3 linked regions of the Elephas maximus indicus genome follow. The protein of the gene in region 1 purifies or fractionates together with the protein of each later gene. This does not show direct contact. Links are inferred from orthologs where the notes say so. Each region holds a gene or a part of one and is shown on either strand. Other genes may lie near its edges.

Region 1 (10,704 bases):
TTGGGCAGGTGAGCCGCTGCCCAGGGGAGGGACCAGGGAACTCCAACCCAGGGACAGCTACAGAGGCTCGGCCCCCAACTGACCCAGCCCTGCCCCAGCTCTGCCGCCAGTGGGCTGTGTGGCTCTTGACAGGTCACTCAGCCTCTCCAGCCCTGTCCCCTCCTCACCTGCCAGCTACAAGTGTCCCAGGGATATCGTGAGGACAAAAGATGGTTTTAGTTGTACAAGCACTTTGGAGATCCCAACACCCCAAGGAAACGCAGGTGACTGTTGCTGGTTCTCATCCTGCCTCCTACATGGGTCAGGTCTGGGTGCCTGTGTCCATCTGTCTGTGAGGTGCCTGTGTCTGTCTGCCTGCATGGGTGCCCCCATCTCTATGTCCATCTGTCTGTGAAGGGGCTATCCATCTCTGTCCACCCTGTACCTATGCCCTGATGGCAGCTGGCTTCCAGGTCTGTTTGTCCTTCTGTCTATCCATGCCTGGCTGAGACACTACAGCACTTCATCAGTTCTTTGGGGGCTCGGTGCCGGGTGGGCTGGAGCAGCTGACTGCTCAGTGCTCAGTGGTGTGGAGGAGACCTAGCTGTCCCCAGAGGACTCCAGGACCCCCCAGGGGGCTGTGGTGGCTCTGCCCTTGCTGCCCCACACGGCCCCCTGCCCACCTGGGATGTGCCGGTGATCATGTTCTTGATGAAGTCGCGGTGGCCCGGGGCGTCAATGATGGTGATGTAGTACTTGGTGGTCTCGAACTTCCACAGGGAGATGTCAATGGTGATGCCACGCTCACGCTCTGCCTTCAGCTTGTCCAGCACCCAGGCATACTTGAAGGAACCTTTCCCCATCTGGAGGGAGCAGGGCAGGGGCATTCAGAGGCCCAGCCGGGTGGTCCAGGCCTGCAGTCACTTCCCATCCACCTCAGCTGCCCCCACCTGGCCATGGGAGCCATTCTGGGGCTCTGGAAGCAGCTTATGTAGCAGAGGCTCCCTCCATGAAAACAGGCTCCAGTCTCACCCTGCCACCTGCTTGGACCCCATGACACCAGCTCCCCAGAACAAGAAAGCCAGCTTAGGGACCCCCCAAGGGATGTCCCCGCCCGGCGTCCACAGACATGACTTAACCCAGGTTCGCCATCCCTGCCCATGCTGTGTCCAGCAGGCCGCACCGTTTCCCACACCCACCAGTAGGTGGCGGGAGGGCCTGGAACCTGTCTTAAGAGGAGCTGCCAGCTGGGATTAACCCCTTCCCCTGGCTGCTGGGAACCCCACCCATGAAGTCCACAATGCCACAGGGTGTCTCAGGCTGTTGGATAACCACTCTGTGTCATTGAAAAATAAAAAAGAAAGAACTGGGTCACACCAAAGGGACCAGCTTTCCAGCTCTTTCTACAGCCGGCAAGGGCCCCCAAATAGCTCTGAGGCTCTCCCCACCCCACCCTGCCCACACAGGTGACTCAGAAGGTCTCCCCAGACACAAGGCCAGGCCTGCCCTCTGCTCTACAAACACCTGGGCCTGGGGTCTGCGGAGCAAGACTCCCCATCACCTGGGGCTGGGGCTTCAGGGAGGGCAGCTTCACCAAGCTCCCTGCCAGCCTTCATGCGGACAGGCCTCTACCCCTAGGGAGGCTACCCAGCCTAAAGGGGGGTGCCAGACGATCCCTGGGCCAGTGCGCCAGAATAGATGCCCTCCAAACACCCTCTGCTGCTCCCCATGCAGCCACAGGAAGGAGTGACGCAGCTGTTTGGGCCTCCCACAGAGGCATGTAGGTCAGAGCACCGCACCTGGGCAAGGGCTCAGCCCAGACCAGCAACACCCTGGGCCCCTCTATCACCCGGTGAGAGCCTTCAGAGGCTTTCTCACATGTGAGCTTCTCCCAAGCTCAGGGCGGGGGGCAGCCCCCAAAAGTGGTGAACCCTCCACTACACAGCCACTTCCCACCCACAGGTCTCAGCCACTCTGTGAGAGGGACCACCAGCTAATGGCCCCTCATCCTCTCCAGGGCAGCCAAAACCTCCCGAGCGCACCCCCCACCAGTCCTGCCCAAGAAAATGGAGCTGGTGGCTCGCTGCCCATCAATCAGCTATTAATAGCAGCCAGAGAGCCCTTGTGCCCTGTCAAGTGAGGGCAGCCCCACCTCCAGCCCCGTTTGTCCCTGTGGGTGCAGGAGCCCAAGGCTCCGCCAGCCCCATGAGCAGAGCATTCTGAGCCCTGCTGCCCACGCCATGGAAGGCAGACGCGTGGCCCAGGCCACATCCCCCATCATGGAGCAAACCCAGGCACATGCTCAGATCCCCCCACCTCCAGCTTCTGGGACAAGGTTCCCTCAAGCCTCACACCCTCTAGGCCTGGAGGAGGTAGCCTGAGCCAGACAGATGGGTCAGGGGTGAAGGTGGGAGAGACGGAACCCCCTCTGCTCACCTCGGCTGCCTCCTTCTCAAACTTCTCAATGGTCCTCTTGTCAATGCCCCCGCATTTGTAGATGAGGTGGCCAGTTGTGGTGGACTTGCCTGAGTCCACGTGGCCGATGACCACAATGTTGATGTGGGTCTTCTCCTTCCCCATTCTGCCCAGGTGTGGGGGAGTCAGCACAACCTGGGGCGCTCTGACTTGGGGTGAGGGGGCTGCCGAGCAGTGCTTCTATGGGGCTGGAGTGGGGGGACAGGGAGCCTCAGGTTAAAGCCCAGAAAAGACACCGCCCTGGTGCATGTGGTGGCACAGTCCCTGCCCACATCCCGTGCCCCAGTTAGACCCTGCCTGGCTGGCCACGTGGGCCATATACCCCCCACCCCTCCCTTTGACCCCGTGGCTGTAAGGCTGGAAGTGTCTGGGCATCGCTGCCCAAAGACACCAGCCCCGTGACAAAGGAGGCTCGCTCCCATGTGGAGAGAAAGGCCAGGCTGGGTGAGCCCCATGCTCGACCAGCGTCACCGGGGAGCCTGGTTGATGAGTCACCAGAGGCCCTGTCCCCACTGCCCCCCCGCCCCATGAAGATGATCAGCGCTCCTCACTCCCTTCCCCAAGCAAGGATAGCGCCATCTTCCATCCAGCCCATCCGCTGGCACCCAGGGATGAGGGGGTGAGGCAGGCTTTGGGGGGGGCTTGGACAGGAACCCTGCTGTGTCAGGGTTAGGGGCTCAGAACAGCCCCGCCTTCCTTTGAATCTGGGTGGGGGGCAGGCAGCAGGAATGGGGGTATCCATTCTGGCCAGAGGAGTATCTGGCTCCAGCAGCCAAACGCAGCAGGTGCCGATGCCAATGCCACCAGCCGGTGGGCACGGGGGAGGGTTAAGCCTGCCCCCCACCCTGGTCAGGGGCCTTGATCAGCCCTGCACCTTCCTGGCTGCCCCCCACCCCCACCCCATCTGAGGTCAGTGGAGAAGCAGCCGCCAAGGAGAGGGCAGGCGCCTGGGGGAGGGGAAGAGGCACACATGGCTAGCACCCTGGGGCGTGGATAGCTAGGTGGACACCGCCGGGGCCCACAGGGGTGGGCGCAGAGTGGCCGGGTTCCCGGCTGGCCGCCTTCTCCTCCCCAGCTACGTCTCCCGGACACCTCCAGCACCCACCCCTGCCATCCCCCAGCACTGACGACCCTGGCCCCAGCAACGCAGGGGCGGTCCCTTCCAAGGTCATGGCTGCAGGGTGGCGGCCTCCGCCCAGGAGACCAGCCCCTGTCATAGTCCGCCGCCGAGTAAACAAGCGATCGTGGTCCCCCCAGACCCGCTGCCCGCGGGGATCTGAGCGCGGTGCCCGGTTGGGGTGCTTGGGATGGGCAGCGGATGTCTGCAAGTCAAGCAGCGCAGCCCTGCGAGGCTCCCCGGCCCAGCCCCTGCCTGCCCCCAGGACCCGTCCCCGGGGAGAAGACCCTCTACAGGAAGCCGGAGCGCGGATGGGGGCCCTCGAGGCCGATCGTCCTTACCCGGAGCCGCGGTCTCAGCCAGAGGGACTGGCGACGTTGGCGCCGGCGGTTTTATCTCTCCGGGAGGGGGTCCACCTATTGACGGTGCGGCGCAGTGCACTGCGCCCCTGCAGTACGGCACTGCGGTACGCTGGGCGGGGCGCAGGCGCGGGGTGCAGATGCGGGCGGCGGGCCCACGGACGAGCGCGGGAGGGAGGTTGCGGGGAGAGCAAGCCACAAAGGCGCGGAGAGCCAGACGCACCGAGGGTGCGCGGAGGGAGCGCGGCGGGAGAGGAAACGGGTCGGAGGCGGGGCGGAGAGCTGGGGCAGGCCATGGAGAGAAACACAGAGGAGACTGAGAGAAACGCAGCCAGGGCTGGGAGGCGGGCCCAGATCAAAGACAATGAAGACAAAGCAGAAAAGACGAGACAAAGAATAAAAAACAGGTCCCCAGGGCTGAGAGTAAAATCCACAGGGACAGGAGCTGGCTTGTGGGAAGGTCAAGTGGGACCCATTCCTCCAGGGTCTGAGGGACCCTCGGAGCCAAAGAGCAACCAGTGCCTGGGACCCAAGGGGGCTGAGGCCAGGGTCTGGGCCACTGCCCTGACCCCACGAACCCCCTGCCAGCCCTGGCCCTGCACAGAGTCCATGCCCATGAACAAATGAAGCTACCTTCAGGCACTCTCTGGTGGGACCTTTCCCTCTTGCCTGGCCCACCTAGTCCCCATGGTGTGGCCCAAGAATGGGGCCTCTGAATACCTCTGTGGGCCAAGTGGACTGAGGCTGGGACAGCAAATCTGTTCCCATGAGGCCCCTGGAAACAACCATTGTTTCCTGGGTCCCTTGGTTCGGGGATGCTCAGGTGCACAGCCAGCGCTTAACACCCATCCCAAGAATGCGCTGGCATCTGCGAAGGGCATGTGCACTCGTGGGTGCACAGGTTCCTGGGAAACAGCATCAGCCGATTTGATAAATCAGGTCCCAAACCGAGTTGAGGGCCATGACTCAGCCTCCGTTACTGGCCCAGCCTCTTGCTCCTCAAGGCCGAGGCTCCACCCTGACTCAGTGCATATAGGCCCCCCAGCTGCTGAAGCCAGAGGCAGGAGGTGCCTGGGGAAAGTTCCAGTGAGGGTCCTGACCCAGCACAAGCTCCCAGCTGGCCCAAAACGCTGGCTTGCTGACCTAGAGGCAGGAGTTGGGAGGCCCTAAGAGTGCCCTCAGCACAGCAGATCACCCCTAATCACAGGGGTGGCAGAGTTCCAGGGAAATCACAGCTGTCACTTCAAAGTTCAAAGTGAAGGGCTCGCTGCCTGGCCTAGCTGCTCAGAGGAGTGTCCACCTCATGCAAAGAACCTAAAGGGTCTGAGATGGCCCCCCGAGCCCAGAGCTGAGTGCGGGAGGAGTCGGGAGAGGAGGCACCCTGCCCTGCTGAGGGGCACAGTCTGCTTCCCACAGGCTTCGATGGCAACTAAACAGAGCCCATGGAGCAGCCTCAGCCAGTGGAGGTGAGGGCCTGGGGGCCAGGAACACCGACTTGTGGGAATAAGGGGTTCATGAAAGGAGGGAACGTGGTGGGCACTCAGGAGTCAGAACACCACCTCTCACAGCCAGCTGTGAATCCTCCAGCCAGTGCCCTCTCTGGCTGTGGACCCAGCACCCTTTGCCGCCCTCCGGGTCCTACTTGGTTAAGCAGGGAGAGTGAAGCACCTACTCCTCCAGGTCCTTGTGTCCAGCACCTGGTGAGGTCCAATGTAGCCAGTCCTCCACCTTCCCCCAGACCCAACCCGGGGCCTGTGACCCCACTCCCTGGAGGATCATCTGTGGGTGGCAGTCCCAGGAGGCCCATCCTGCCCAGCCTGCAGCAGGCCGGCCTTTGGTGGGGGGACAGTCCATGGTTGGGGAGTTCCCCACTTGTCCCCCAACTTGGTCAGCTTTGAGCCTCCCTGCCATGACCTTGACACTGTCTGTGATGGCTGGCACTCGGGAAGGAATGTTGCCAAGATCATCATCTTTGTTGACTGAGACTGGTCCCATGTGGTGTGGGACTGTCTCTCCTGCCCCCTGGAGTCCATCTGCCTGAATATCCTCAGCATGACCCTCAGCCCATGATGGCGGCTGGATGCCCAGGACCTGGCAGTGAAGGCCATTTCTCTGGCCATTGTCCTGCACAGCCGGGCAGACGCTGCCCCTCAGTATGCCCCTACCCCATGCTCTCATTGGCTCTGCTTGGCCCTGCCTTGAAATTCTTGGCCCATTCCAGGGCTGGAAGGACCCCCAGCAATACCCTAAACCCACCCAAGAAAAGAATCGTGACAAAAGGCTTGCGCCTTGGCAGCCCCTGTGTGTCTGGGGATTCTTACGGGAAGGGGCCTGCCTGGCGCCGTCTGGCCCTGTCCTATGCTCGTCCAGGAGATGCTAGCGGGGGTGGCCCCGTTCTGCTCCTGTGGGGCCTCGGCAGACCCAGGGTCTCTGTTGTACGGCCGTCCACCCTTCACCCCACCAGCACCCATTAACCCGGGACAGGACTTAGGAGGGAGGAGGTAGATGGCGTCTGCTCAGTGGAGGTGTTGGAGGAGGGCAGGTGCTCAGCTGGGGCCTAGTGGCCCTGGTGGGTTCCTGGCAAAGGTCTGGAGGGGGTGTGTGAAGAAAGGTGATCACTTGGACTTAGTAGGGTCTTTATGGGGAAGCCAAGGCACCAGCCCACCACCCCTCCCACAGGAAACCCTGTGGTGGGCCCTCTGGCACCCCTGGGGACAGTCTTGTGGGCACAGTGGAGTGTGGGCTGGCCAGCCCTGGGGCTCGACCTTTAGCTCCTCCCATCCCAGCTTCTCTCCAACCCTTCAAGGACAGCTCAGAGACCCCTCAGCACAAAGGAGAAGGAACAGCTATGGCAAGAGCTTCTAAAAACTGGAGTGGGGGTATCCAAGCTTGAGCAGGAATCCCTGTCCTGGGGAGGAGGGAAAGAGCATGGGCTGTCTCTCAGGGGGCCCTGAGTGCCAAGACAAAAACAGGGCGGTCTGGCCACAGGGGCAGAGGGGCATAGAGCTGCTTGGTCATGGGGTAGACAGGGTAATGGAGCCCTCTGGTCACAGGGGCAGACAGTCATAGAGCCATCTGGACAGAGGGGCAGACAGGGTCATAGAGTCGTCTGGCCAGAGGGGAAGACAGGATCATAGAGATGTCTGGTCACAAGGGCAGACAGGGTCATGGAGCCGTCTGGTCACAGGGGCAGACAGGCAGTGGCATCACTAGGGTTGATGTCACCCAGTGCGGTAACTCATTGGCACCCCCCCATGGACCTCCTCCCGTACCAGATCTTGCAGAACCCTTACTAATGTTTTTTGTACTATTGCTGTTTGTAAATCGTAATTCCATGTATCAGTTAATGTAATGGTAATAGTGACAGGAACAACTAGCAAAATTAAAATTCATCTTTAAATTACGATGTCACACGCACAGCATAAACGCATTTACATTACATAGTTTCATGTGGTTAAAGTGGAAATTCGGTAAGAAAACAGAATTTGAAGTAAAAATGTTTAAGAATTACATGAAAATTATGTTCATTTTAACATTAAACTTTACTATCATGTTCGATGATTCATGGATTAGGTTTGCATAATTGATAATGGCCCAGATAGTGTAGAAGTTGTAGACAATGCAGATGGGAACATACTCATGATTGAAATAATGCCGTAGAAATAATCAGGAACCAACACACAAGCATTTCAGCACCCAGCAAACATCTCGACTAAATCAGAACTCTCCTTTCCTGGCCTTCAAAGCTGCAAACGTGTGAATGACTTCATCGAAATCAATGCCTTTCGCCAACTCACTTTGTAATGTGTCATTTAGTTTTTTAAACCCTGAAAATTCCATTAAAGTCAGATATGTATTTGCAAGACAGTAAGGTTTTTAAAGAAAGTTTTAAAAGGACTAAAAAAAATTTTTAAATGAACTTAATATTTCTAATATTTCTAAACATCTATCAAGAAACACAGCATTTCCCCAGCATGGCATTTAGGCCCTAACAAGAGAGTCAGCCTGTCCTCTGAAGCTTTGAAGCCAGGCATTGACTCCTCCTCTGTGGCTGTGAGAGTCCTAGACGGCACCTTCTTCCAATACAAGGCGTTTTGTCTACATCGAAAATCCGTTGTTTACTGTAGCCGCCGTGGTCAATTAGCCGGATCTTCTGGAGGACTTGCTGCTTCCCTTGCACTCTCAGGTTACAGAGGCGACTTCTTTTGTGTTTTCAACTTCTTTCATGTTTAAATTTCATGTTCTCAACTGTCATTTTCTCTACGTAGTTATCAAAGTTATATAATCAGTAACTGTTATACATGTAAGTTTGTTATCAGTTTTAATCATAGATAAGCATAGTTGTAAATTGCTAAGGTATACGATTTCTTAGGCTATATGATTACTAACAATCAAGTTGTTTTATAAAATCTGCTTTGAATTACAATATTAGTGCAACATTATCAGTAACTGAGCCAAAGCCTTTTTTATTTTTCTCCTTCTCTTCCCTTAATTACACTACTTCATTCTCAAAAAAATTACTGATATAGGTTCACAAACACTAATTACCACAATAAAGTAGCTAAAACACCAGAAAATTGGACAAAATCAGCCACCGTATAAACACGGGCAGCAAGAAGAACAACAGCACAGGCGTGTGGCATGTGCAGACGGCACCGTGGGATCTGAAGCGTCGCTGTCGTTGGATAACTCTGACAGCCCTGCCAGAGGGCATCAGAAGGTTCAAAAAGCAAGTTAGTGTAGAGTTTTAGACTTGTAGGTATATTGATACATATAAACTGGGCTTACAAAAAATGTTTTTGTTGTTATAACTAACTACAGAGATTTTTTATAAAAAAACAATAAATCTCTGCTGAAACTGCACAAAAATTTTATAGACAGTCGTTTTGGTGTCGCCCCTTCTGACAGTGTCACCCAGTGAGGTCCACGGCCTCCACAGCCCCCTAGTAACGCCACTGCAGACAGGGTCATAGTGAAAATGGGCTCAAGGGGTCTGACAGGGCAGCTGTGCCTAGGTGAGAACAAGGTCGGGGCTTTCTTATGGGCCCTGGTCTCATCTCATCAAACGTGTCTCTGCTTCTGGGAGCCACCTCCTCTACACATTGTATTCATCCTGTGACTGCAGAGTCCAGCAGAAGGCCAGGCAGATGACAGGGTCCCCAGAGGTGAGTGGGAGCAAGGGCCTCACTCTCTCAACAACCCATCTAGACTGGGAGACCCAGCACCCACCCTGTCTGCAGGGGAGCTGGAAGCCCTGCAGGCAGGTGTGAGGAGGGTAGGGGACCAGGGCAGTGGCCAGGGCCAGCCAGGCCTCCCTGGGTCTCAGGGCTCTCAAGGAGGGTCTCTCGGGGAAGGGCGCCAGAACCCATTGAAACCCCTATGTCTGCATGTAGGAGCCCTGGGGGCTGGGCCAGGGTGGGGCTGGGGAGGCAGCTGCAGGCAGGAGGGGAGCAGGGTGGGGCACTCAGATGACCAGCACCTCTGATCACTGCTGATGCCACCAAACAGGAGCCAGGAATTAAAAATAAACCCTGGCAGCAGCAAACCCCTCACCCGCCTGGGCTCAATATTTAATGCCTTCTTGTCCGAAGGTTAGGCGGAGTTCTGAACACTGCTCACTGTGGACACTGTGATTGGCCAAGGCTGGGGTGGGCCAGCTGGAAGGGGTCAAGGTAGGGGACTTGGGAACCCTGCCCCAACTCCCCTGATGTACCCCCTCCCACCCAGTGCCTTGGGTGTTCCATCTGGGCCCCTCCTCCTGTGGCTGCTGCCAGCACAGCTGTCTGGAGCCAGATGGGCCCAGGCCCCATGGCAGGGGTGTCCCGTCCACGGTGCCAGCAAAACCACTGATGGTGGGGCAGGGGCATGACAGGCAGCGAGGGCTTTTGGGGGGCTTCTCCCAAGGGCCAGGTAGAGCATCTAGAGACTGACACACTCAGAACACTAAATAACAACCACACAGGTACCAGGCGTGGAGTCCCCGTGTGCTGGGCAGGGCCGAAGGTCAGGCCAGGACCCCAAGCCAGGTAAGGCAGCTGGGCCGAGAGAGGTTAAGTGCCCCCTGCTAGACTTCACAGCAAGTGGGGAGCAGAGCTTGGAGTGGGCAGCTGGGAGGCCTGAGCCAGGCAGGCACCACTTCCAGACACAAGCCAGGGTCCCACCATGGCCATGGCCTGGGCTCCTGGGCAGCTGCTGGGTGGGGCCTTGGCCCCCTTGATGACACCTCCTTCCCTCCCTCTGAGTCACTGGTCACAGTGATCCCTGAGGCAGCTAGGGGAGGGGTGGGGGGACACCAGGCTAGGAGAGCCTCACGAGGCACTTTCTGGGGCACAGGGTGGGCAGAGAGGCACAGGCTCCACCTCCTCAGCCCTCTTCCATGGAGCTGTTTGGGGAGACACAGCACCCCCTCTTTGGCTGGCTGGGGTTTCACAGCCTCAGGAAAGAGGACCCAGCTAAAATTAACGTGATCAAGCTGTCGGGTCTGAAAATAAATCGTCTCCCATTGGCTGCCAGTGACGTCGCTGCCATGTTATTAATAACCTATGGGGGCCTAACTCTCCACCTTGGCAGGAGTCTTCCTGCAGGCCGGCGTCCTGGCCACCATCCTGGGAGGCGCAGGCCTGTGCAGGCTGTGGCGGACAGATGGGACTTGGGGGCTGGCTGGGGGTCACAGCTGGGGGTCACCCTCATATGGGGTCTCAGCCCCGTGTGTGGAGCCTTTCCTGGTCTACCTGGGTGGCATAGGAACAAGGTCCCCTGGCCCTAGCCCCTCCC
Region 2 (10,965 bases), on another chromosome or scaffold:
AAAACAAACACAGTTTTATTTTTTTCTGATTAAATCATATGTTCCTTTGACCCAACTTCTAGAAATTTAACAATCAATTCCACAAGGAAAGATGAATGTCCAGAGATGCTTGTAGCTTTATTTGCAATAGCCAAAAATTGGGAACAATTTGAAATCTATCAATATAGAATTGGTTTATTAAATTGTTGTATTTCCATACTATACGGCTGTCCCATAGGAATGAGATGTGCTGATATGGGAAAGCTGTTGCAAAATAGTATGTGTGGCGTAATCTTCCTTTTCCTAAAGAAAACAGAGGACTAACAAGACCAGTGCAGTCTCTTTTGTCTGTATTGTCTTCTGTTTGTAAATCCTTTATCTCCTTGTATCATTGGCTCTGAATCATCTTTCAGGACTTGGTTAAGTGCTCTGTCCTCAGACAGACTTCCTGGTCCTTCTAGGCAAGTAGGCCCTTCTGTCATCGAGTCTACTTTCTTCCTAGTGGGTACTTCTCAAATTGTGATTTCATAGAAATATATTTACTGTTTAGAGCCTGTCCTCCCTGCAGGACCAGGACCACATTTAGCTTACTACTGTCGAGTCGATTCTGACTCATAATGACGGTACGGGACGGAGTAGAACTGCCCCATAGAGTTTCTGAGGAGCACCTGGTGGATTTGAACTGCCGACCTTTTGGTTAGCAGCCATAGCTCTTAACCACTACACCACATAGACCTGGTATATAGTAGGAGTTTAATAAATGTGTGCTGAATGAAAAAAAAAATTGCTAATGTTTGAGAGCCTCCTCTGGACTAGGCACTGTTTTGAGTACTTTGCATTTTTTTAACTCATTTAATTTTCACAACACCCCTATGTGGTGTATATTATTGTTCTTGTTTTATACTTGAGGAAACTGAAGCTTAGGTTAGAAACTCACTGGAGTCCTCACAATTAAGCCATACAGCCAGAACTGAAATCCAGTTCTGTCTGGTGCCTTTTTAAAAAAGTTAAACAGTTTAAAAAAAAAAAAAAAACTGTTAAAAATAGGATCATATTCTCTATGTAATTGTTAAACTTTTCACTTATGGATATTTTTCTGTGTAAATAAAGTTGATCCTTTAAAATTTTTAACTACTGTCTAGTACTTTATTATTTGTTAGATGGCTATATTTAACCAGGAGCCCTGGTGGTGCAGTAGTTAAGAGCTATGGCTCCTAACCAAAAGTTTGGCAGTTCGAATCCACCAGCTGCTCCTCGGAAACCAGTGGGGCAGTTCTCTATCCTACAGGCTCGCTATGAGTTGGAATCAACTCGATGGCAACAGTTTTGGGTTTTGGTATTTAACCAAGATCTGTTTTAGACACTTAGGCTGTTTCTGATTCTTTGCTTTTACAAATGATGCTATCTTGAACATCTTATGTATACATCTGATTATTTCTATAAATACGTAAAACGTATTTATAACTATTATCCGATTATACTTTAGGAAGAGATTGAATTAATGTATTCTCTCCCCAACAGTTTCTCCCACCCAGGAGAATGTGAAATTATTTCTTTGTGGGAGAAGGATTGATGTGGCAGGGAATGGTGAGGAGAGGGGCTGAACTGGAAGGCGTTAGCCTTTTAGGCCAGAGATTTCAATTTATGGCACTCATGCCACCGGCGATGCAGACAGTTTTAATTGGCATATGGGTTGGGGCTGTAGAGCAAGACAAAAACCAGCCCTAGGCCATTCTGTGAGATGACTTGTCTTTGAGTTCCCTCTTTTCTCCTTCCTAGGCCTTCATCATGGCAAGGATAAATAACTTAGGTTGTAGCCCAGGGCCTAAAGCAAGGACTTGGAAGACTCTAAGATGTTTCCTTGGTTGGGAGAAGAGCTCTTTCCCTCATCCTTGTTGTCAGACCAGTTTTACGCCAAGTGTCTCCTCCTTAAGGGACTGAATAAAATGACACCACCTGATTCAATTCCTGAAAGTTGCTTCCACTGCTGCAGGCAGTGAAGTGCAGCAGTCACAGGCTTTGAGCAGCCAGGGACATGGTGAGAACATCACTGAGGCAGTAAATCTCAGACACTGGATTTCAAAGACTTATAGAATTTTACAAAAATTGGGAGTCCAACCTAGAGTTGCCAACTTTATTTTTGACAGGATATTTTTTAAACTGCCATTATTACTATCATTTCATTTAAAACATTTTTAATACCTCCCCCCCCACAAAAAAATAAGGAAGGGCAATTAAAGAGCAGTGTTCTTTGGAAAAAGCTATTGGCAGCCCTAAGTACAACACGCATACACGTATTCTCTATATTGTATTTACTGAAGATTTTACATGCACATGTCATTGTTTGAGAACCACAGTTCCGAGGAGCTTGAGTTTGGGGATGACATGCAAGATGGTTAAAATCAAGGCGACTGGTGCTTCAAAATAATATGGAGGAGTGGATGGAGGTATTGATAGGGAAGGACTGGTAAGGGTGGGCAGTGTTCACATGGGAGTCATAACATTTGTGTGTCTCCATAATAAAATTAATCAATATAAAATGTAATTATATTTGATCTATGCAAATTTGTATATATTAAAAGGTAAATATAAAAACATTAAAATCAGTTTAACAGAAACCACAACCAGGTTGGATGTTGGCCTGGGTCGAGCTTCAAAATAATAAGACCTAGGTTTGTAGAAGTCCAACTAGAAAAGGAATTACAGAAACAGAAGTCAGCAGATGATGAAGATTCACAGGACATGGAGAGCGAAGAAGTACAACTTACAGGATTTGAAGTTACGGGACTAAATTGTTGAAGCCATTGATAGAAATTAAAGTTGAGAGAGAGAGGAAGCATAACTTTGAGCATTGGTGTTTATATAGCATTCCCCATTAACATTTTAGAGGGCTTCGGACAGTGGTGGAGCGATAAGAATTTTTGCTTTTCATGTGGGAGACCCAGGTTCGGTTCCCAGCCAATGCACTTCACACATAGCCACCACTTATCTGTCAGTGTAGGCTTGTGTACTGCTGTGATGCTGAACATGTTTCAGTGAAGCTTCCAGACCAAGATGGACTAGGAAGAAGGGCCTGGTGATCTTCCAAAAATTGGCCAGTGAAAACCCCTATGCGTGATGACGTTTCAACCTGCAATCTGTTAATGGGGATGGCACAGGACCAGACAGCATTTCATTTTGTTGTGTATGGGGTTGCCGTGAGTTGGGGGCTGACTTGATGGCAATTAATAAGAAGAACACAGATTGGGAGCACAGATGCCCTTTATGTCTGCATCTTCAAGAGCAATGCTGACTACCTTTATCTACTTTACATATGGGGCTTCTGCTTCCAAAGCAATAAATGTTTGAAAATAGCTCATGCTGCAAGCATCAGACCTGAAGTCCCTGCTTATTTGCTCTAAAGTCAGGCAAGTTAGACAGCTCTCTGAGTGCCACATGGTAATAGCTACCTTGTAAGGTGGTTGTAAAGATTACAAATAACTATGCACAGTACAGGTCTAGTGTTTAACAGTTGTTTAATGGTAGCTCTTGAGTGGGTTGGTTTAGAGAGGGAAGATGCGGGGTCTAAAATACACCATTCTTAAAGCTTTTTCTTACTCCAGGGCTTAAAGATGTCTCTCTTGGCCCACCTTTGAAGTCACCTCTATGTTTGTTGACTTTGCTGTAAGTTAATTCGGTTTTTCTCTCCCTCTACCCCCTGATAGCATCTGTGGAACACTCCATTCTGTGGATCAGGTGAGATATAGCAAGAGCCCAGAATTGGGTCTTGGGGAAGGAGAGGGGAGAGCTTAAGGGCTGGATACTTGCATCTTGTCTCTAGGGTTAATGATGGTATTCCATCTTTTTTTTAGTATCTCAACATCAAACTAACTGATATCAGCGTCACAGACCCTGAGAAATACCCTCACATGGTGAGTAGGGATGGTGAAGAAACACCTCCAAAAGTAGGAGGCCCCAGGGTGGGTAGAGGATATGTTTTTTTTTTTTTGGTAGAGGATATGTTTTTTTTTTTTGGTAGAGGATATTTTAAGGATGTTTTCACATTTGTTTGTCTTTGTATAGTTGTCAGTGAAGAACTGCTTCATCCGGGGCTCGGTGGTCCGCTATGTGCAGTTGCCAGCAGATGAGGTTGACACACAGTTGCTCCAGGATGCAGCAAGGAAGGAGGCCCTGCAGCAGAAACAGTGATGGTTCCTTCTCTGCTTCCCCGCCCTCTTCCACTGGTGACCCATAACCTAATATCCCAGCCCAGGGCCCCTCTCACCCATGGAGTTGTTTTGTTTTTGGCTGGTTGAGTTTTAATAGTGAGGCTTTTTTTTTTTTTTAACGATGAGCAGATGAGAGGGATAATAGTGGGGAGCAGGTTTCCTCTGTTGAGAAGGGGAGGATAAGTAGTGTGGGTAACTGCAAAGCCTTCCCAGTCCCCAGCACCTGCCTTTCTCACTCCTTCCCTGGAAATTGTAGGAGAGCCTCTTAGATCTTTCTAGGGCAGGGTGTGATTCTCTTTGGGGCTGGAAGGAATCTGTCCCGCATCGGGAATAAAATTCATGATGCAAATTTGAGTTGTGGTTTTGTGGTATGTCTTTTTGGGCAGGGACTTGGGGCAGGGGGCAGGAAGGTGATGCTGGATTCATTCAAGCCCTGTTACTCTCCACTCCCATAGCCAAGAGCCCACCCCAACTACATAGCATTATCTGTCACTACTCCCCTTTGTATAAACCGTGTAATAACCTGGACTATTTTTTTTTTTTATACACCATGTTTTCCTGAATATGCCCCTACTTATTTTCTCTCCCTGGTCTTTTGCTTATACTGTACCTATAACTGGAGTGTTTTGCCACTGTGGTGTCATAACCAGTCCAGGGAGGCTGAGATTATCCACCTCTGATGTCAAATGTGTGGTGGATAACAAATCCCACTCTACATGCAGCTTCGTCCTGTGGGAATCTCAGCTCCCTTCCCTGGTCAGTTCAGACTCCAGCTGTTCCATGCAGCTCTTTGTCTCTCGTCCCCGGTCACTGGGGCTAGGTCAGCAAGTACAGGCCCCTTCTGTTTCCTAGGTGCTTTAATTGTTGAAACGACTCAAAAACTGCAGGGAACGGGCTATCTTCAGCAGAAAAAAGGATACAAACACCAAGGGCGAGGTCCAGGAGGTCCCAGGAAGCTCCAGTGAACATCTTAAAAGGCCTTTTATTGACCTCACCACATGGCCATGATAGGGTACATCCTTTTTCCAGAGGTTCCCTCTGTCTGGTCAGCCCCCCCGCATTGGCCTCATTGGCCAGGCTCTCAGGAACCAGGGCGAAAGGCCAAATTGTTTACTGCAAGGGGGTTCCACACTTCCCAGGTACCCTTAACACTTCTGTGCTCTCTCATTTATGTGGCAGTTAATACTATGAGACATCAAAATCCATGATAGGTTTTGAGTTTCTTTCTCAATCTAGCGAAATCGGTAGTCTTTCTGAATATCTGTTAAGAAGGTAAATAAACACAGGACATAACTTGTATTGCATAGAGTTATGACAGGGAATTACTAAACTCTTGATTCATTCAGCAAATGAGTTCCCGCCACAGGCGAAAATTCAGTTACAAGGACCATAACCTAACCCAGTGCCGCCGAGTGCCACAGAGGCCACCTAATGTGACGCCATCATCGCACACGTGAAGAAATGAGGCTCAGGAAGGAGGGTGGACTCCCCCTCCCCATCGGTGCGGCAGAGTCTAGCTCCAGCAGGATGATACTCGCCGGCTGCCCGCTGGGCACCGCCCTCCCGGGCCCGCCTAGCGGCCGCCCACCACCCACACTGCCAGCTCCGAGGACCCCGCCAGGGTGTCCGCGGCGGCGCCTGACTGCAGGGCGGTCCCGGGGACGCCCTCCCGCGCTGTGCCTGCGCCCCTCCCCGTTCTTCGTGAGTGCGGCCCCCGGCGGCGGCTCGACCCCGGAGCAGCGTCGGCCAGGGGCCGAGCCCGCCCGTGCAGGCGGGACGCGGCCGCCCGCGCCAGGATCCGCGGGCCCGGAAACGCTCTCTGTCATAAAGGCGGGGGACACGTGGGTGCCGACGGCCCGGGAGGCGGTCGCAGGGAAACTAGGATCGCCCGAAAGACCGCCACCGCCGCCGCCCCAACCTGCCCGACTCCTCGGCCCAGGCCGCCCGGCCCATCCCGCCGCGGGCCAGCCCGGCCTAACCACCTCCCTCCAGTATGTACACGCGGCCCGAACGTGCGTCCCTGCTGACGCGGAAAGCCCCCTCACACTCCTGAGGACCGTGATCATGGGGAGTCCCGCCCCCCTCTGCCCCAGGCGCTCCCACAGCCGCCCCTCGGCTCCCGAGGCCTCATCAGACCTCCAGCCCTGGCAGAGGAGTCCCCGTGAGGGTCCCCTCTGCTGGGATAGGACCCCCCTTGAATCTCTCGTTTTACCCTGTCTTTTTTTCTCAGGTTTTTCCGTCTTGTTCGGAGTCCCTGAATAGCCATGTCCATCCTCTACGTCTCCCCTCACCCAGACGCCTTCCCCAGCCTCCGAGCCCTCATAGCCGCCCGCTATGGGGAGGCTGGAGAGGGTCCCGGATGGGGGGGTGCCCACCCTCGCATCTGTCTTCAGCCCCCCCCGACCAGCAGGACTCCCTTTCCCCCACCCCGCCTGCCCGCCCTGGAGCAAGGGCCAGGTGGGCTCTGGGTGTGGGGGGCCACAGCTGTGGCGCAGCTGCTGTGGCCAGCAGGCCTGGGGGGCCCTGGGGGTAGCCAGGCAGCAGTCCTTGTCCAACAGTGGGTCAGTTATGCCGACACGGAGCTCATACCAGCTGCCTGTGGGGCAACACTGCCAGCCCTGGGACTCCGAAGCTCTGCCCAGGACCCCCAGGTGAGTGGAGAGAAAGAACAGGGAGATTCAGAGGAAGGAAGCAAGGACTGGAATGGATAATGAGAATATTCTCTCAGAGAGTGAAAACATTTGATCAAATCCCAATTCCCACCTGGTATGGTTATTCTAAGCACGTTTCTAAAACTGTCAGCCTTGCTTTCACTGTGTCTGTGAAACAAAAGTGATGTAATACTTTTGAGTTGTTAAGAAGATGAAAGAATGTGTGCAGAGCACATAGCCCAGGGTTTTGCTCTTTAAAGGCTCAGAATAAGTGATGAGTTTGAAACTGAGAGTGATAGGGATTACTTTGAAATGGTGGGAAAGACCGGGTGAGGGAGAGATGATTAGATTTGGGCAGCTTGGGCAGGGTGGGGAGAGATAACAGTTGCCAGGAGGAGATGAATGAGAAATGAAATGAGGAAAGAAATTAAGGGGAAAAAAGGGGAGATTTAACTTCAATGCATCACTCCACCACATTGTAAATGTGCCTCCAGAGTGTGGCTGTGCCTGAGTGTCCTTGTAGCTCTTATCAGAGTATGAAGCATGTGGTGGGTATTTAGTATCTCATCAATGACCGACTGACTGAATGGATAGATATGTAGCATAGGCCCTGGCTTGTTCCTTGAAATCCTGGTCACCGTATTTAAAAAAAAGAGAGCCACCCTCTCCTGGAACTCCCTGCCCCTTCACGCTGCTTTGTTTTTCTCCATAGCAGTTAAATAGGGTGCTACATTATATATTAGCTTATTTATCGTCTCCTCCACTAGAATGTAAACTCTACCAGGTCAAGGACTTGGCCTACTTGTTCAAATTCTGATCTCACCCTGGAGTAGTGTCTGGCACATAAAAAAATAAACTGAAACCAGTTGCGGTGGAGTGATTCTGACTCAAGGCGACCCCATGTGTGTCAAAGTAGAACTGGTCTGTAGAATTTTCTTTTTTTTTTTTTTTTCATTTGTTAATTGTTCATTTACCAAGAGAAACTATTCCTTAGCCCACAGAGTCGTGTTTCATAATTCAGGAACATAGGCCAGTGACAACTTCCATGAAACTCAATCCAAAGAAATTCTTTATATTCCAAATCACTTTGCACTCTGAAGCATACCAGCTTTTCTCATCTCTTCAGAATCCTTCATGGAATCATAATTTCTGTAGAAATCCATAGATGCCTCCATGGTTCAGCTACTGCAAACTTACAGAGAGCTGCAATCCCCAGGGACATAATGAGTGCTCCAGCGATATGAATTCATAGACACCTGAGCAGAAGGCCTTGCATCTGAGGTTTCCCCAATACGCTGGAAGACATGGTGGTTTTTCTCACTTAACACCAATGTCCTTCCTGACTAGTGGAGAAAATCCATAGGGTTTTCAGTGGTTGATTTTTTTAGAAGTAGATCATCAGACCTATCTTCTGAGGTGCCTCTAAGTGGACTTAAACTGCCAGCCTTTTGGTTAGCAGCTAAGCACATTAACTGTTTGTACCTCCCAGGGACTTCTGCCAGGTACATACCAAAAACCAAACCCATTGCCATCAAGTCAGTTCCAACTCATAGTGACCCTGTAGGACAGAACAGAATTGCCCCAGAGTTTCCAAGGCTGTAATCTTTATGGAAGCAAACTGCCACATATTTCTGCCACGGAGCAGCTGTTAGGTTAGAACTGCTGACTTGTAGGTTAGCAGCCGAGCTCTTAAGTACTGTACCACCAGGGCTTCTCACCAGGTGCATAGTAGGTGCTTAATAAATATTTGTTGAAGCAAGTACTTTGTTACCTCACGTACTAACCTGTTCTTAATAGCATTTGGCATGTAGTAAGTGTTCGGTAGGGGTTTGTTAAATGAATGGGGAGGAAGCACTTTTATTATGAACATTTGAGAGAAGAGGAAACTGGCCTTTGGGATTTGTGGGAGCAGAGGGAAGCCAAATGGACTGAGTTCCGGGAGCCAGGTGGGGACTGAGGCAGGCCAAGCCTTGTCTCACACCCCTTCCTCTTCCTGCCAGGCCGCACTAGGGGCCCTGGGCCGGGCCCTGAGCCCCTTGGAGGAGTGGCTTCGGCTGCACACTTACCTGGCTGGGGAGGCCCCCACTCTGGCTGACCTGGCAGCTGTCACAGCCTTGCTGCTGCCTTTCCGATACGTGAGTCACTGGGGCCTGGGGAAGGATGAGGGCAGCTCCCCTCAGACCTCACTGTGACTAAGGGTAACTCATTTCTTTTCCCTCTTCCTCATCCTCATCCCAGGTCCTAGACCCCTCAGCCCGCCGGATCTGGGGTAACGTGACTCGCTGGTTTATCACGTGTGTCCAGCAGCCAGAATTCCGGGCCGTGCTGGGAGAGGTGGTTCTGTACTCAGGGGCCAGGCCCCTCTCCCAACAGACAGGTGACAAATGGTGGGGGTGAAGGATTAGGAGTCTCTGGGGCCTTCCATGCAGCTCACTTCCTCTTTTCTCTCAGAAATGGTAGGGGGTTGCAGGGGTCTGGGGAGGGTACAATGGGAGGATCAGTATAGGGGAGCTCTCAGGCAGCTAAAATAGCCCACGTGAAACATAGTATCATCTTCATGGAGGGTCCCTAGCAGGTTCAGGCTGAGTCTGCATTTATGTACCCCTTTCCAGGCCCTGAGGCTCCTGCACCCCCAAAGACAGCTGCTCAGCTCAAGAAAGAGGCAAAGAAACGGGAAAAGCTAGAGAAATTCCAACAGAAGCAGAAGATCCAACAGCAGCCACCTTCAGGGGAGGTGAGAGACTGAGGGTAGAGCTGACAAAAAGGCCAGTGTCTTGCAAAGGATGACTAATGTCTGGGCCTGTGTCTTTTTCCTCTTAAGCAGAAGAAACCCAAACCAGAGAAGAAGGAGAAACGGGATCCTGGGGTCATTACCTATGACATCCCAACCCCACCTGGCGAAAAGAAAGGTACTGGGATGGGGAAGGGATACCCACCCTTCACCTCAACCCTCCTTAGCAGCTCCTCCCAAACTTTTATCCCTTCTTGCTTCATCCTTATTCCCACCACTTTACTTGGTGAGGTTGCAGATCCCCCAGACCCCCAACACTGCCTTGTGATGTGAGCGAGAAGCCCAGAGCTCCTTCTGTGCTGGCCTGTCCTTTTCCCAGCTCCTCCTAGCCTTGGCACTGACCCCACCTCCCCTCTACCCCAGATGTCAGCGGCACCATGCCCGACTCCTACAGCCCTCAGTATGTGGAGGCTGCCTGGTACCCTTGGTGGGAGCAGCAGGGCTTCTTCAAACCAGAGTATGGGGTGAGTGGGCACTGCCACCCAGGCCTAGAGGGGATGGGGAAGGAAAGGGCAGGGCTGAAGGACACATCACTTGGGAGGAGGTGGGGAGAGGTCACATGAGGCCTAAGCATGTATCCCATCCCCCCACCCCCATCAGCGTTCCAGTGTGTCAGCACCAAATCCCCAAGGCGTCTTCATGATGTGCATTCCACCCCCCAATGTGACGGGCTCCCTGCACCTGGGCCATGCGCTCACCAACGCCATCCAGGACTCTCTAACCCGATGGTGAGCTCCTGTCCTCTTTCTGAGCTGAGCTGGCCTCTTCTGCTTTCTTTCCCCACTCCTGTGGCTCCCTTCTCTTCCTGATTGGTGCCCTCTGTCCACTCTCTTTCTTTTTTTTGAATAATTTATTTTTGTTGTAGTTGAGAGTATACACAGGAAAACATAGACCAATTCAACAGTTTCTACATGTACAGTTGAATGACATTGATTACATTCTTTAAGTTATACAGCCATTCTCACCTTTCTTTTCTGAGTTGTTCCTCCCACATTAACATAAACTCACTGTACCCTAAGGTTCCTATCTAATATCTCAAGTTGCTGTTAGTTTGATCCCATATAGATAGTTCTTGAAAGAGCATAATGTTTAAAGCAGACGTATTTTACAAGTTAAGCTAAACTATTGCTTGGTTTTAAGACTTAGGGGATATTTTTGGTTTAAAGTTTAAAGATTATCTCAGGGCAGTAGTTTTAGGGGTTCTTACACCCTCCATGGCTCCAGAAAATCTAGATTCCATGAGAATTTGAAATTCTGTTCTGCACTTTCCCGCTTCCTATCAGGGCTATTCCATAGGTAGCCCCTGACTTGGAATGGGGTTCCGTTCTGATGACTC
Region 3 (10,185 bases), on another chromosome or scaffold:
CGATTATCAAATTGAGGAAATTTTAACACTGGTACAAGACTTTAACCTCCAGTCCATATTCTGATTTGTTAGCTGTGTCTACGGTGGACTGTCGTAGTGTCTCTTCAGTCATCTTTGATCTGGTATAGTTCCTCTGCCCGTTATTGTTTTTTGTGACAATGATATTTTTGAAGAATACAGGCCATTTACTTTATGTAATTACACGGCTACTTTTATTTTTAAAAAAGGATTGCTGTGAGGATTGAATGAGTTAATAGATGCGAAGCCCTTAGAATAGACCCTAACATGTAACAAGCTGCAGATATTAGATATTGTCATTTTGGGGACAAGAATGTTCCCCCAGTTAGGGGACAGCAGCAGAGGCATTCACTTGGCTCTTTTCTGCCCACAGCCAGCCCCAAAGCCTCCAGAGTCTCCATCCTTGGACTCGGCCCTTGCTTCCCCACTGGATCCTCAAGCCCTGGCTTGCATCTCAGCCTCCCCTCCAGGCTCACAGCCTCCATCTTCTCCCCAAGACTCTGAAGCCCTGGACTTTGAAACCCCATCCTCCTCCCTGGCGCCCCAGACTCCGGACTCGGCTTTGGCCTCTGAGACCCTGGCTTCCCCCCAGTCCCTGCCTCCAGCCTCTCCCCTACAGGAAGACAGGGGAGAGGGGGACCTGGGGAAGTCTCTGGAACTAGCAGAGGCCTTGAAGGGGGAGAAAGCAGAGGGGGGAGCAATGCTGGAGCTGGTGGGATCTATTCTTCGGGGCTGTGTGCCTGGGGTGTACCGAGTCCAAACTGTGCCCTCTGCCCGACGCCCTGTGGTCAAATTCTGCCATCGGCCCTCAGGTCTCCACGGTGACATCTCCCTCAGTAACCGGTATCTTTCTTGGGGAGCGGTGGTGGTGGTTGGGAAAGGCTAGCTGAGAATTCCAGGGTAGGAGGAGGGAGTCCTGGTCTGAGAAGCTCCTGTACCTTCCGAGCCCTGAGATTATTCTTGTATGGTCTCATCCCTCTTTCTGCCTCTCATTTCCTTGTCTGGTTTCTATTTTATGTTCTTGAAGTGTGTTCCTGGGGATACTATTTTTAAGGGATGTGGAAAAGGATTTCATGGTTAAATACATTTGGAAAGTGCTAAATTAAATGAGTTTTGTTTTTTCTCTTTCCCCTTTCCCTCTTTCTCTTTCCTCCCTTTCTCCTTCCCTTCCCATCTCTGTTTTTTTGCATACTGAAGGCTCTGAGCAGTTTTATAACCTGCTCTGAATGTTCCAGACTGGTATATAGGATGTTATGTTTCCTAAACTCATTTGATTTCCTTTTGCACACCCTCTCACAAGACCAGTGTTTTGGTACCCACTTTGGGAAACCCCCTCTGGCCTGCTTACTCCACTTGGCCCTGGTTATACAAGTCAGGAATGAGAGCAGGGGGAGCTGGTAGCTCAGAGGGGTCTTGAGCCCTGACACCATCGTCCTCCTTTCATCCCAGGCTGGCTCTGCATAATTCCCGCTTCCTGAGTCTTTGCTCCGAGCTGGATGGGCGAGTCCGGCCCCTTGTGTACACCCTCCGCTGCTGGGCTCAGGGTCGGGGCCTGTCAGGTAAGGATGAATCAGGACGGACTTAAGGCTGAGTTGGTGTCAGGACCAAGGATATCAGGGAGAGAAGGGGGCAGGTATAAGAACTGGTGTGGAGAAAACTGCTATAAAAGAGGTCGGGAGCCTCTCTAATCTAACTGGAATTACTGATTATTCACTCAGGGAGCGGCCCCCTTCTCAATAACTACGCCTTGACCTTGCTGGTGATCTATTTCCTTCAGACCAGAGACCCTCCTGTGTTGCCCACTGTGTCCCAGCTCACCCAGAAAGCAGGTACAACAGTTTGGCCTTCACTGCTCCGCCATCATACTTAGACACACTGAGCTAATGAGGTCTCTTCTTATCCCTCCCTCCCCCTTCGCTTCTCCCCACACAGTCCCGTTTCCTGGCTGAACTGCACCTTTCTTATTCTCACAGGTGAGGGAGAACAGGTGGAGGTTGATGGCTGGGATTGTAGTTTCCCCCGAGATGCTTCGAGACTGGAGCCCAGCACCAATGTGGAGCCCCTCAGTAAGTTCTGGGAGCCTGGGAGACAACCAGTGATTTTATTAATCACAATAGTAGGTAACATTACCGTATGTCTACTGTGTGCCACGCATGGTTCTCCATGGGATGGTGAATATTGTTATTGTCATTTATGGACAAAGAAACAAAGCCTTGGGGCAGCCAAGTGGCTTGCCCGAGGCTACACTGCTAGCCAGAGGAGGGAGTAGCCTCTGGGGAAGGGTGTTGCTGAGGGCACAGAGAGAGGGGCTTGACCTCTTGTATAGAGGGAGCAGAGAAGTCTAGCTTCTTGACATTCTCCTGAGCTCCTTGGAAGAGAGACACTACTGCTAAGGAAATGGCTCTGGTGTAAGACCTGTCTCCAACAGTCTCAGTTCTGGCCTGTACCTGTTGCTGTCAAGTCGACTGCAACTATAGTGACCCTATAGGACAGAGAACTATCCTATAGGGTTTCCAAGGCTATAATTTTTATGGAAACAGACTGCCACATCTTTCTCCTACAGAGCAGCTAGTGGGTTCAAACTGCTTGGTTAGCAGCCTGTTTAACCACTGTGCCACCAGGGCTCCTTTCTGGCCTATAAGTGACCCTTTTTCTCCAATCTTCCTTCTCCTGCAGGTTCCCTGCTAGCCCAGTTCTTCTCCTGTGTCTCTTGCTGGGATCTTCGGGGCTCACTGCTTTCTCTGCGGGAGGGCCAGGCATTGCCTGTGGCAGGAGGCCTGCCCTCTAATCTCTGGGGGGGCCTGCGCCTTGGCCCCCTGAATCTCCAGGACCCGTTTGACCTGAGTCATAACGTGGCAGCCAATGTGACCTGCCGGGTAGCTGGGCGGCTACAGAACTGCTGCCGAGCAGCAGCCAATTACTGCCGAAGCCTCCAGTACCAGCACCGTTCCTCCCGGGGTCGGGACTGGGGGCTGCTCCCTCTTCTGCAGCCCAGCTCCCCTAGCTCCCTGCTATCTGCTACACCCATCCCCTTACCCCTGGCTCCCTTCACCCAGCTCACTGCGGCCCTGGTCCAGTTGTTAAGGGACGCATTGGGGTGCTGTATAGAGCAGGGAACCAAGAGATCGAGGTCAGAGGGAGATGCAGCTGGGGAGTCTCCCCAGGGAGGGACAAGCAAAAGACTGAAACGAGATGGACGGACGCAGAGCTGTGAGGAGGGGAGGGAAGAGCAGCAGGAATGTGCAGGGGGCCACGGTGAAGACGGGGTGGAAGAAATGGTCATAGAGGTTGGTGAGACGGTGCAGGACTGGGCAATGCAGAGTCCTGGGCACCCAGGGGAGCTGTCCTTGACAACCAGAGAGCACCTAGTCACTGGAGAAGGGGGCCAACCAGACCAGGTAGCCTTGGCAGAGCAGGGACCCAAGGGACCTGATGCAGCCCAAGAAGGGTCACAGGGTGAGACAGGCAAGGGGGCGGCACTCTCCTCGGTGAGCTGGCGCTGTGCCTTGTGGCACCGAGTGTGGCAGGGGCGGCGGCGTGCCCGGAGACGCTTACAGCAGCAAACCAAGGAAGGCAGTGCTGGAACAGAGTGGCTGAAGACTGAGGCTCAGGTGACCCAGGAGCTGAGAGGACTGAGTGGCGGTGAACAGAGGCCAGGGGCTGAGCCCCTCCTGACCTTTGTGGCGTCCGCCTCCCAGGCAGACCAGTCTCTCACTGTGACCCCGCTCCAGGATTCCCAAGGCCTGTTCCCTGAGCTACACCATTTCTTACAGGTTTTCCTCCCTCAAGCACTTAAACATCTCCTCAAGTGAAGACATACACACTAAAGGGCAATAAAGCTGCTAGTTTACTACAAATGGTCTCCAGTTTAATTTCCACCTGGTAGTAATCCTCCACCTTCCACCAATACATCTCCTTTCCTCCTTCCCCTCCCCCAGACCTTACCCACCCACTCATCCACCGCGGTCCAGTCGATTCCGACTCATAACTCATAAGGACCCTATAGGACAGAGTTAGAACTGCCCCACAGAGTTTCCAAGGAGCGTCTGGCGGATTTGAACTGCTGACCTCTTGGTTAGCAGTGGTAGCACTTAACCACTAGCCACCAGGGTTTCCCCGCCAGACCTTAGCTGCTGCCTTCTCAGAGGGGCCTCTTCTGACTACCCTGTCTAAAAGAGTTCTGTTATTCTCCACCTCGGAGCCTTTTTATTTCCTTCATACCATTTATCACGGCTGGCAGGGAGAGCCAAGGCAGTTGTGGTGCCTGGGCCTTGAGTTCCTGAGTGATGGCGTGGTCGGCGAGTTGAACAGTACTTGGGAGAAGAACCAAATTTGCCTCAACATTTCTTCTGCTGCCCCAAAGATTTATGAGTGGTGACAGGGCCCACGATTCGGGCTCAGGGTTCTTCTTTCTCTCCTTTAAGAGTTCATCTGGCTCTTAAATTGGGTAGAGGATCTTCAAATCGGTGAAGGGCAACCCACCAGTATGTTAATTACCTTAAATCATTAGCCGCCTAGGGTCGGAGGCCAGCCTCCCGATAGGACGTGGCAGGGATATGGCTGCACCCTCCCTTCTGCCCCTTCCATGTCGCGGGCCAGAGTACTAAAAAAACTAGCGCCGTTTATTTTCGCAGTAACAGCATCCCAGAGCTGCAAGGTGGTTTAAAGGGAGCAAACCTCACTTTTACAGGCGGTTTCAGACTTGGGCCCCTGTTGAGGTAGACGTCCCTTTCTAGCAACGAAGGGAGTTTGGCAAACTACTACCTCCGCACAGCAGCTATTTCTCTGCTTTGTCATACATTCATGGTTTGGGGGTTTCGCAGAACCCCCATCAAGCCCCTTCTCCCCGGATCTGCAGGGAGACGCCTCTGCGCCCCGGCGCAGCGCCTGCTGACAGCTCTGCCACGTAGTCGGGAAGGGGCGTCTTTTCCAGCAGTTTCTCACTGTTTCCCCTCCCTGGGCGCCGTCCCCCTCCACGGGGGGACCCGCATTGGCCACACCAGTGGGGCGGACCAGCCAAGAAAGTCCCAATGCGCAGGCGCCGGCTTTACCGCGCCGGCCCGCGAGCCCCACCCCCTTTCTGCCAATTCAGCCGCAGCTGGGTTTCGAACTGTCGTGCGTATGCCTTCTATGCCGTCCTCGCTTTCCGGCTGCTGTTTCTCCACGGCTCTCCCCTTTCCCCCCTCCTTTTTCCCCGTGGCGGCTTGCTTTGCGGCAGCGCCGAGAACCCCACCCCCTCTCTCTGCGGAATCACCATGGCGGCTGGGGTAAGTTTGCCGGCTCTGGGAAGCGAGGTGACCTTATCCACCTCCATCCTCTGCCCGAGTGGGGTCAGTGGGCGCCCAGAGGAGTTCCAGAGCCTAGTGGGGTGCTGATCTGGGGTCTGAGGTCTAGAGACATGACTGCTGGAGAGCAGGGCTTCCGGAGCCCCGAGGGGAACTGAGGCTGGGGTTCACGGAGGCCAGAGGTGGAAGGGTCGGGGGTAAAGCAGAAGAGATGTCGAGTCCGGGCTTCCTGGGGCCTTGAAAGGGGGTTCGGGTTCATTGCCACCTCGAGATATGGGAGCCCAGCAGGCTGACGGAACTTCGGCGACCGTTTTGTGGGGCAGCAGCAGCGGACAGGGTAAAGAGGAGGGTCTTTGTGGGCACATTCGGCTGGCCACGGTTAAGGGTCGCTTCAGGGGGGGTTGGGAACGAAAGAAGTCCCCGGACTGTGGAGTCAGGCCAGTTGGACTCCGCTGTCCAGGATAGTGAAGGAGGAAAGTCAGCACCAGAGAACTCACTGCGGGACAGGAGGGGTGGTATGCGTGACAAGGTAAAAGGCTCTTTAGGGAGACGAGTTGGTTGGGGAAGAGGGGGCGCCATTTGGTGTCTCCGTGGCAGTTCTGAGGGGAATTATTTCCACATCTGTTGGTGGGGTGTGTGTTCTTTAGAGACGAGGGTGATGGTTATGAAGGAGAGACTGGCTCAGCTGTAGAGTAGGCAGGCGCTCCGCACCCTTCAATGAATGAAAGAAGGGCTCTGGGAAGGGAGGGGTGCTGTGGTTGTCGGCAGATGGAGTCAGAGTGAGCTACAAGCTCTGGGTTTCTTGGAGATATATTTGGGGGAAGAGAATGCATGTAGAGGTGTCCTTAGGAAAGGTCAGATCTGTCAACAAGCTTTATTTAGCAGTTAGTGTGTAGTTCTGTTCTTGGAATTTCCAGGGACTCTGATTACATATGGCAGGTACTAAAGAATTTGGTTCACCAGCGGGAGTAAAAGAGTGAACTGAACAGATGGCAGTTACTCACAGGGGGGTAATTCTGGGGGGTGGCATTTAGGACTGGGACCCTCAACTCCAATTATTTTATCCTCCCCTTCTTTCTTGCACAGACCCTGTACACATATCCTGAAAACTGGAGGGCCTTCAAGGCCCTCATCGCTGCTCAGTACAGCGGGGCTCAGGTCCGCGTGCTCTCCGCACCACCCCACTTCCACTTTGGCCAAACCAACCGCACCCCTGAATTTCTCCGCAAATTTCCTGCCGGCAAGGTGAGTAGGGAAGTGGAGAGAGGTGGGCCTTTGGCCCTGAGAGCCCACAGAGCCCTAGAATCCCATTGCTCTGGAGGAAGTTTCCATCCTTAAAAGGAAGCTTCCTGTGTTTTTTTTTTTCGCATTTCAGTGACTTAAATATTATTATGAGATAATTGCAGACTTAACATGGAGTTGTAAGAAATAATACAGAGATATCTAGTGATTTTTTTTTTTAATAAAATGCACAGATTTATTTGTGTCTGTAGGAAGAAGCATGCATTTTGACCAAGTGTTTTCAGTGTGAATAGATCAAGTATCTGCTCTGAGGTGGGTCCCTGCCCCAGGGGGCCTACAGAGATAATGTAAATTATCCTGCTAAAGGAAAATAGCTCAAGTGCTCTGGGTAGCAGCATAACGAGGGGTGTAGACTTAGATGTCAGACTTGGGGTATCTAGTCTTTTGCTTGTAATCTTATTGAGGGGTTTTATACAAATACTTGATAATATTCAAATTGTTTGGATTCACTAGTTCAGATACTGAGAGTTTGGGTGGCAGGGGTTGTCAGCTGTATATAAAAAAATTTATCCAAAACGATTCAGTCCCTGGAACAGGCTAGTGAAGATCCCTGTGTATTTTACTTCATCTTTTGACTGCTTTGTCCTCAGGTTCCAGCATTTGAGGGTGACGATGGATTCTGTGTGTTTGAGAGCAATGCCATTGCCTACTATGGTAATGTGCAGGGCAGTGCGGGAATGGGAGGGTCTGGAGATGAGGGGTGTGGAAGTAGAGGGTGAGGGTGAGCTGGAGTGGACAAGAAGATTCTTAGGGGCCTGGACTGGAGTTGGCATGGCCCCAGTGTTCCTGACCTTTGTGTCCTGTCTCTGCAGTGAGCAATGAGGAACTGCGGGGAAGTACTCCAGAGGCAGCAGCCCAGGTGGTGCAGTGGGTGAGCTTTGCTGACAGCGACATAGTCCCTCCAGCCAGTACCTGGGTGTTCCCCACCTTGGGCATCATGCACCACAACAAGCAGGTGAGCCTCGGGACTTAGGCAGAAGCCAGGGGCTCCAGAGTGTCAGAGAGTAAAAGAAAAAAGATTGAGAAAAGGTGATGCCCAAAGAATATCTGGGTAATGAGAAGAGCTAATTTTTGGGGTGTAATTTGGCACAATGGGCTGTTGAGGTACCTGAGTTCTTGGTTAGATAGACCCACTGAAGGGATTGTCATGAGTAGTCAGGGGAGAATTTCTGCTGTAGGAAGATTATACCAAACAGTATAGGAGGTGGTTTGACCAGATGGCCTCTAAGTTCCTTCTAAATTCCAAGATCCATAACTACAATCGATACAGTGGGAAGTGAAGCCAGACTGCACCATGAAGAAATTTAACACTGAGAGCTTCATTGGCGATACGTTTGGAATGACCCTAGACTCTGATTCCATTGAGAGAGGGTGGGGGTGATCCAGGACTCAGTAAGTGAAATAACTACCTTAGTTTAGTTTTAGCAGTGTGTGGAGGGGGAAAGGGATTGGCACCAACTAGCTGATGATTTAAATTCAATAGGCCACAGAGAATGCCAAGGAGGAGGTGAGGCGAATTCTGGGGCTGCTGGATGCTCACTTGAAAACGAGGACTTTCCTGGTGGGAGAACGTGTCACCCTGGCTGACATCACAGTTGTCTGCACCCTGTTGTGGCTCTACAAACAGGTGAAGTATATTAAAAAATCCAGTTGGCAGAGGGTAGGTAGAGATTAGGAACGAAGTGACAAGTCTTCCAGGTTATTCTGGGTTCTGCTGTGGACATGGGTGTCAGGGAGTCTGACAGCTAGCCTGTAGGACAGTTGGAATCCCAGGATTCAGTCCTAGAACTGTGCTTTTCTCTGCCTTTCCTGAGAAGTTTGATGTTCTGTTCGCTTAGTTTTCACGTGGCAGCTAAGATGTTTAGTTTGTTGACATATTTCCTGGGAAGGCCAGTTGTGGTGTTTAGGTAGGGGTAGTAGCTTTTTTTTTCTTCTTTTTTAAGTAGCTTCAGCATCAAGATCTTTTGGAGGTCTAGGTTTAGATCTTGGTTGCGTCACTTACTAGTTACAGGGTTGTATGTGTTTTTTAATTCTTTTAGTCTTTTTTTTTTTTTTTACCCCTGAAGTGTATAAAACCAGAGTAATAGTTATCCCTCTGGAGGGCGTCAGTTAAAGGGGATAAGGGGTTGCTTGTTTTCTTAGACTGATGCTCGTCCAGAATAATAATGCAACGATAGCATAGAAAAGATTGCTTGGAACGCAGTGGTTAAGCACTCGACTGCTAACTGAAAGGTTGGTGGTTTGAACCGACCAGCCGCTCTGGAAGAAAGATGTGACAGTCTGCTTCTGTAAAAATTACAGCCTTGGAAACCCTACGGGGCAGTTCTGCCTTGTGCTGAGGGTCTCTTAGGGACCATCTTAGTGAGTCTTTACCTCCTGTGTGGGTGAGGAGAGATGTAACCTGCCCGGGGACACAGAGCTAGCATGTGGTGGGGTAAAACTTGAACTCAAGCACTGCAGAACCAGCACTTCCAATTGCTCTGTTGTCTGTCTCAGTGGCAAATTTTTTTTCCTCTGATCTCAGCAAAATAAAAAATGACTGCTGGGAGTTCTTCACGAAGCTAAGTTTAATTTAAATGATGGTTCATTACTTTTGAAATTGTTAGATTTTTTTTTCTGCTGTTGAATGTTCTTTACTTTTTGAAGTTTGATAATAGTGGCAAACTTACTTTGGCAAAATAAGTAGTTGATAGCCCCCTGTTGGTCCCCAACCTTTAAAAAAAATTGTACTGATGTGTACAATTTAAAAAATGAGAGACGATAGACGTGAAATGGGTTTGCAAAGGAGCAAGGCAGTGTACGGATATTATTCCTCCAGAAATATTCTGATCCATGGTAAGTGGAAGGGGTGGGCCCAAGCAGCCTATTAAATTGAGCTGGATTACAAAAAAAACGATTAGGAGAATAAATGAGTAGCAGCCCTAGTGGTGTAATGGTTAAGCTCTCAGCTGCTAACTGAAAGGTTGGCGGTTTGAATCCACCCTGCTGCTCCGTGGGAGAAAGACCTGGTGATCTGCACCTGTAAGATTATAACCTAGGAATCTCTGTGGGGCAGTTCTGCTGTGCCACATGGGGCTGCTGTGAGTTGAAATGCACTCAGCGGAACCTCACAACAACAGCCCCCAGTGTAAGTTGGTGTTCTAGGGAGCTGCTGTCTAGGGGGTTTTGAGGGAAGTGGAAAATGGAGCTTTGGTGTAGAAAGAGACAAGGACTCTCAGGGTCTGGCTAGAAACTCTTCAGGGCCTTTCCCTGCAGTGACTTTGTTTCCCCCCTATATCCTGGCAGGTCCTAGAGCCTTCATTCCGCCAGGCCTTCCCCAATACCAACCGCTGGTTCCTCACATGCATTAACCAGCCCCAGTTCCGGGCTGTCTTGGGGGAGGTGAAGCTCTGTGAGAAGATGGCACAGTTTGACGGTAAGTCTGAGGGAGGGAGAGAAGCATGTGTGAGATCGAGATGCCGGCGCCCAGGGGCAGGGTCTAGTTTGCTCAGTGTCAGCCCCTTGATTTCCTATCTTGCTCTCAGATTGTGTGGACCCACAGAATGTAGGGTATCACACATAGTCATTAATAGTGTTCTGC

Evidence for each region.
Region 2: the proteins of EEF1A2 (region 1) and VARS1 purify together in Homo sapiens (co-immunoprecipitation; 3 studies listed by BioGRID and IntAct, counting the BioPlex papers as one, with this or other methods). This does not show direct contact. The link is inferred for Elephas maximus indicus from reciprocal best matches to the Homo sapiens genes EEF1A2 and VARS1.
Region 3: the proteins of EEF1A2 (region 1) and EEF1G purify together in Homo sapiens (affinity purification with mass spectrometry; 4 studies listed by BioGRID and IntAct, counting the BioPlex papers as one, with this or other methods). This does not show direct contact. The link is inferred for Elephas maximus indicus from reciprocal best matches to the Homo sapiens genes EEF1A2 and EEF1G.

What each region holds. Positions count from the first base shown.
Region 1 is NC_064843.1:4,533,093-4,543,796, reverse strand, and holds the start of EEF1A2 (elongation factor 1-alpha 2), read right to left. Parts: upstream 4,164-10,704; 5' UTR 3,913-4,163; intron 2,643-3,912; 5' UTR 2,560-2,642; coding exon 2,416-2,559; intron 843-2,415; coding exon 663-842; intron 1-662. UniProt on the Homo sapiens protein: Translation elongation factor that catalyzes the GTP-dependent binding of aminoacyl-tRNA (aa-tRNA) to the A-site of ribosomes during the elongation phase of protein synthesis.
Region 2 is NC_064819.1:93,307,405-93,318,369, reverse strand, and holds the start of VARS1 (valine--tRNA ligase), read left to right. Parts: upstream 1-5,947; 5' UTR 5,948-6,178; intron 6,179-6,417; 5' UTR 6,418-6,451; coding exon 6,452-6,838; intron 6,839-7,920; exon of another isoform or gene 7,921-8,144; intron 8,145-8,838; coding exon 8,839-8,973; intron 8,974-9,076; coding exon 9,077-9,215; intron 9,216-9,450; coding exon 9,451-9,572; intron 9,573-9,659; coding exon 9,660-9,747; intron 9,748-9,992; coding exon 9,993-10,093; intron 10,094-10,229; coding exon 10,230-10,357; intron 10,358-10,965. Other genes in the region: U6 snRNA-associated Sm-like protein LSm2, read left to right, coding at 3,684-3,714, 3,831-3,890, 4,042-4,167. UniProt on the Homo sapiens protein: Catalyzes the attachment of valine to tRNA(Val).
Region 3 is NC_064825.1:125,752,935-125,763,119, reverse strand, and holds the start of EEF1G (elongation factor 1-gamma), read left to right. Parts: upstream 1-5,177; 5' UTR 5,178-5,273; coding exon 5,274-5,285; intron 5,286-6,389; coding exon 6,390-6,548; intron 6,549-7,195; coding exon 7,196-7,259; intron 7,260-7,417; coding exon 7,418-7,560; intron 7,561-8,088; coding exon 8,089-8,232; intron 8,233-9,890; coding exon 9,891-10,020; intron 10,021-10,185. Other genes in the region: TUT1 (speckle targeted PIP5K1A-regulated poly(A) polymerase), read left to right, coding at 392-861, 1,468-1,577, 1,737-1,847, 1,992-2,084, 2,695-3,830. UniProt on the Homo sapiens protein: Probably plays a role in anchoring the complex to other cellular components.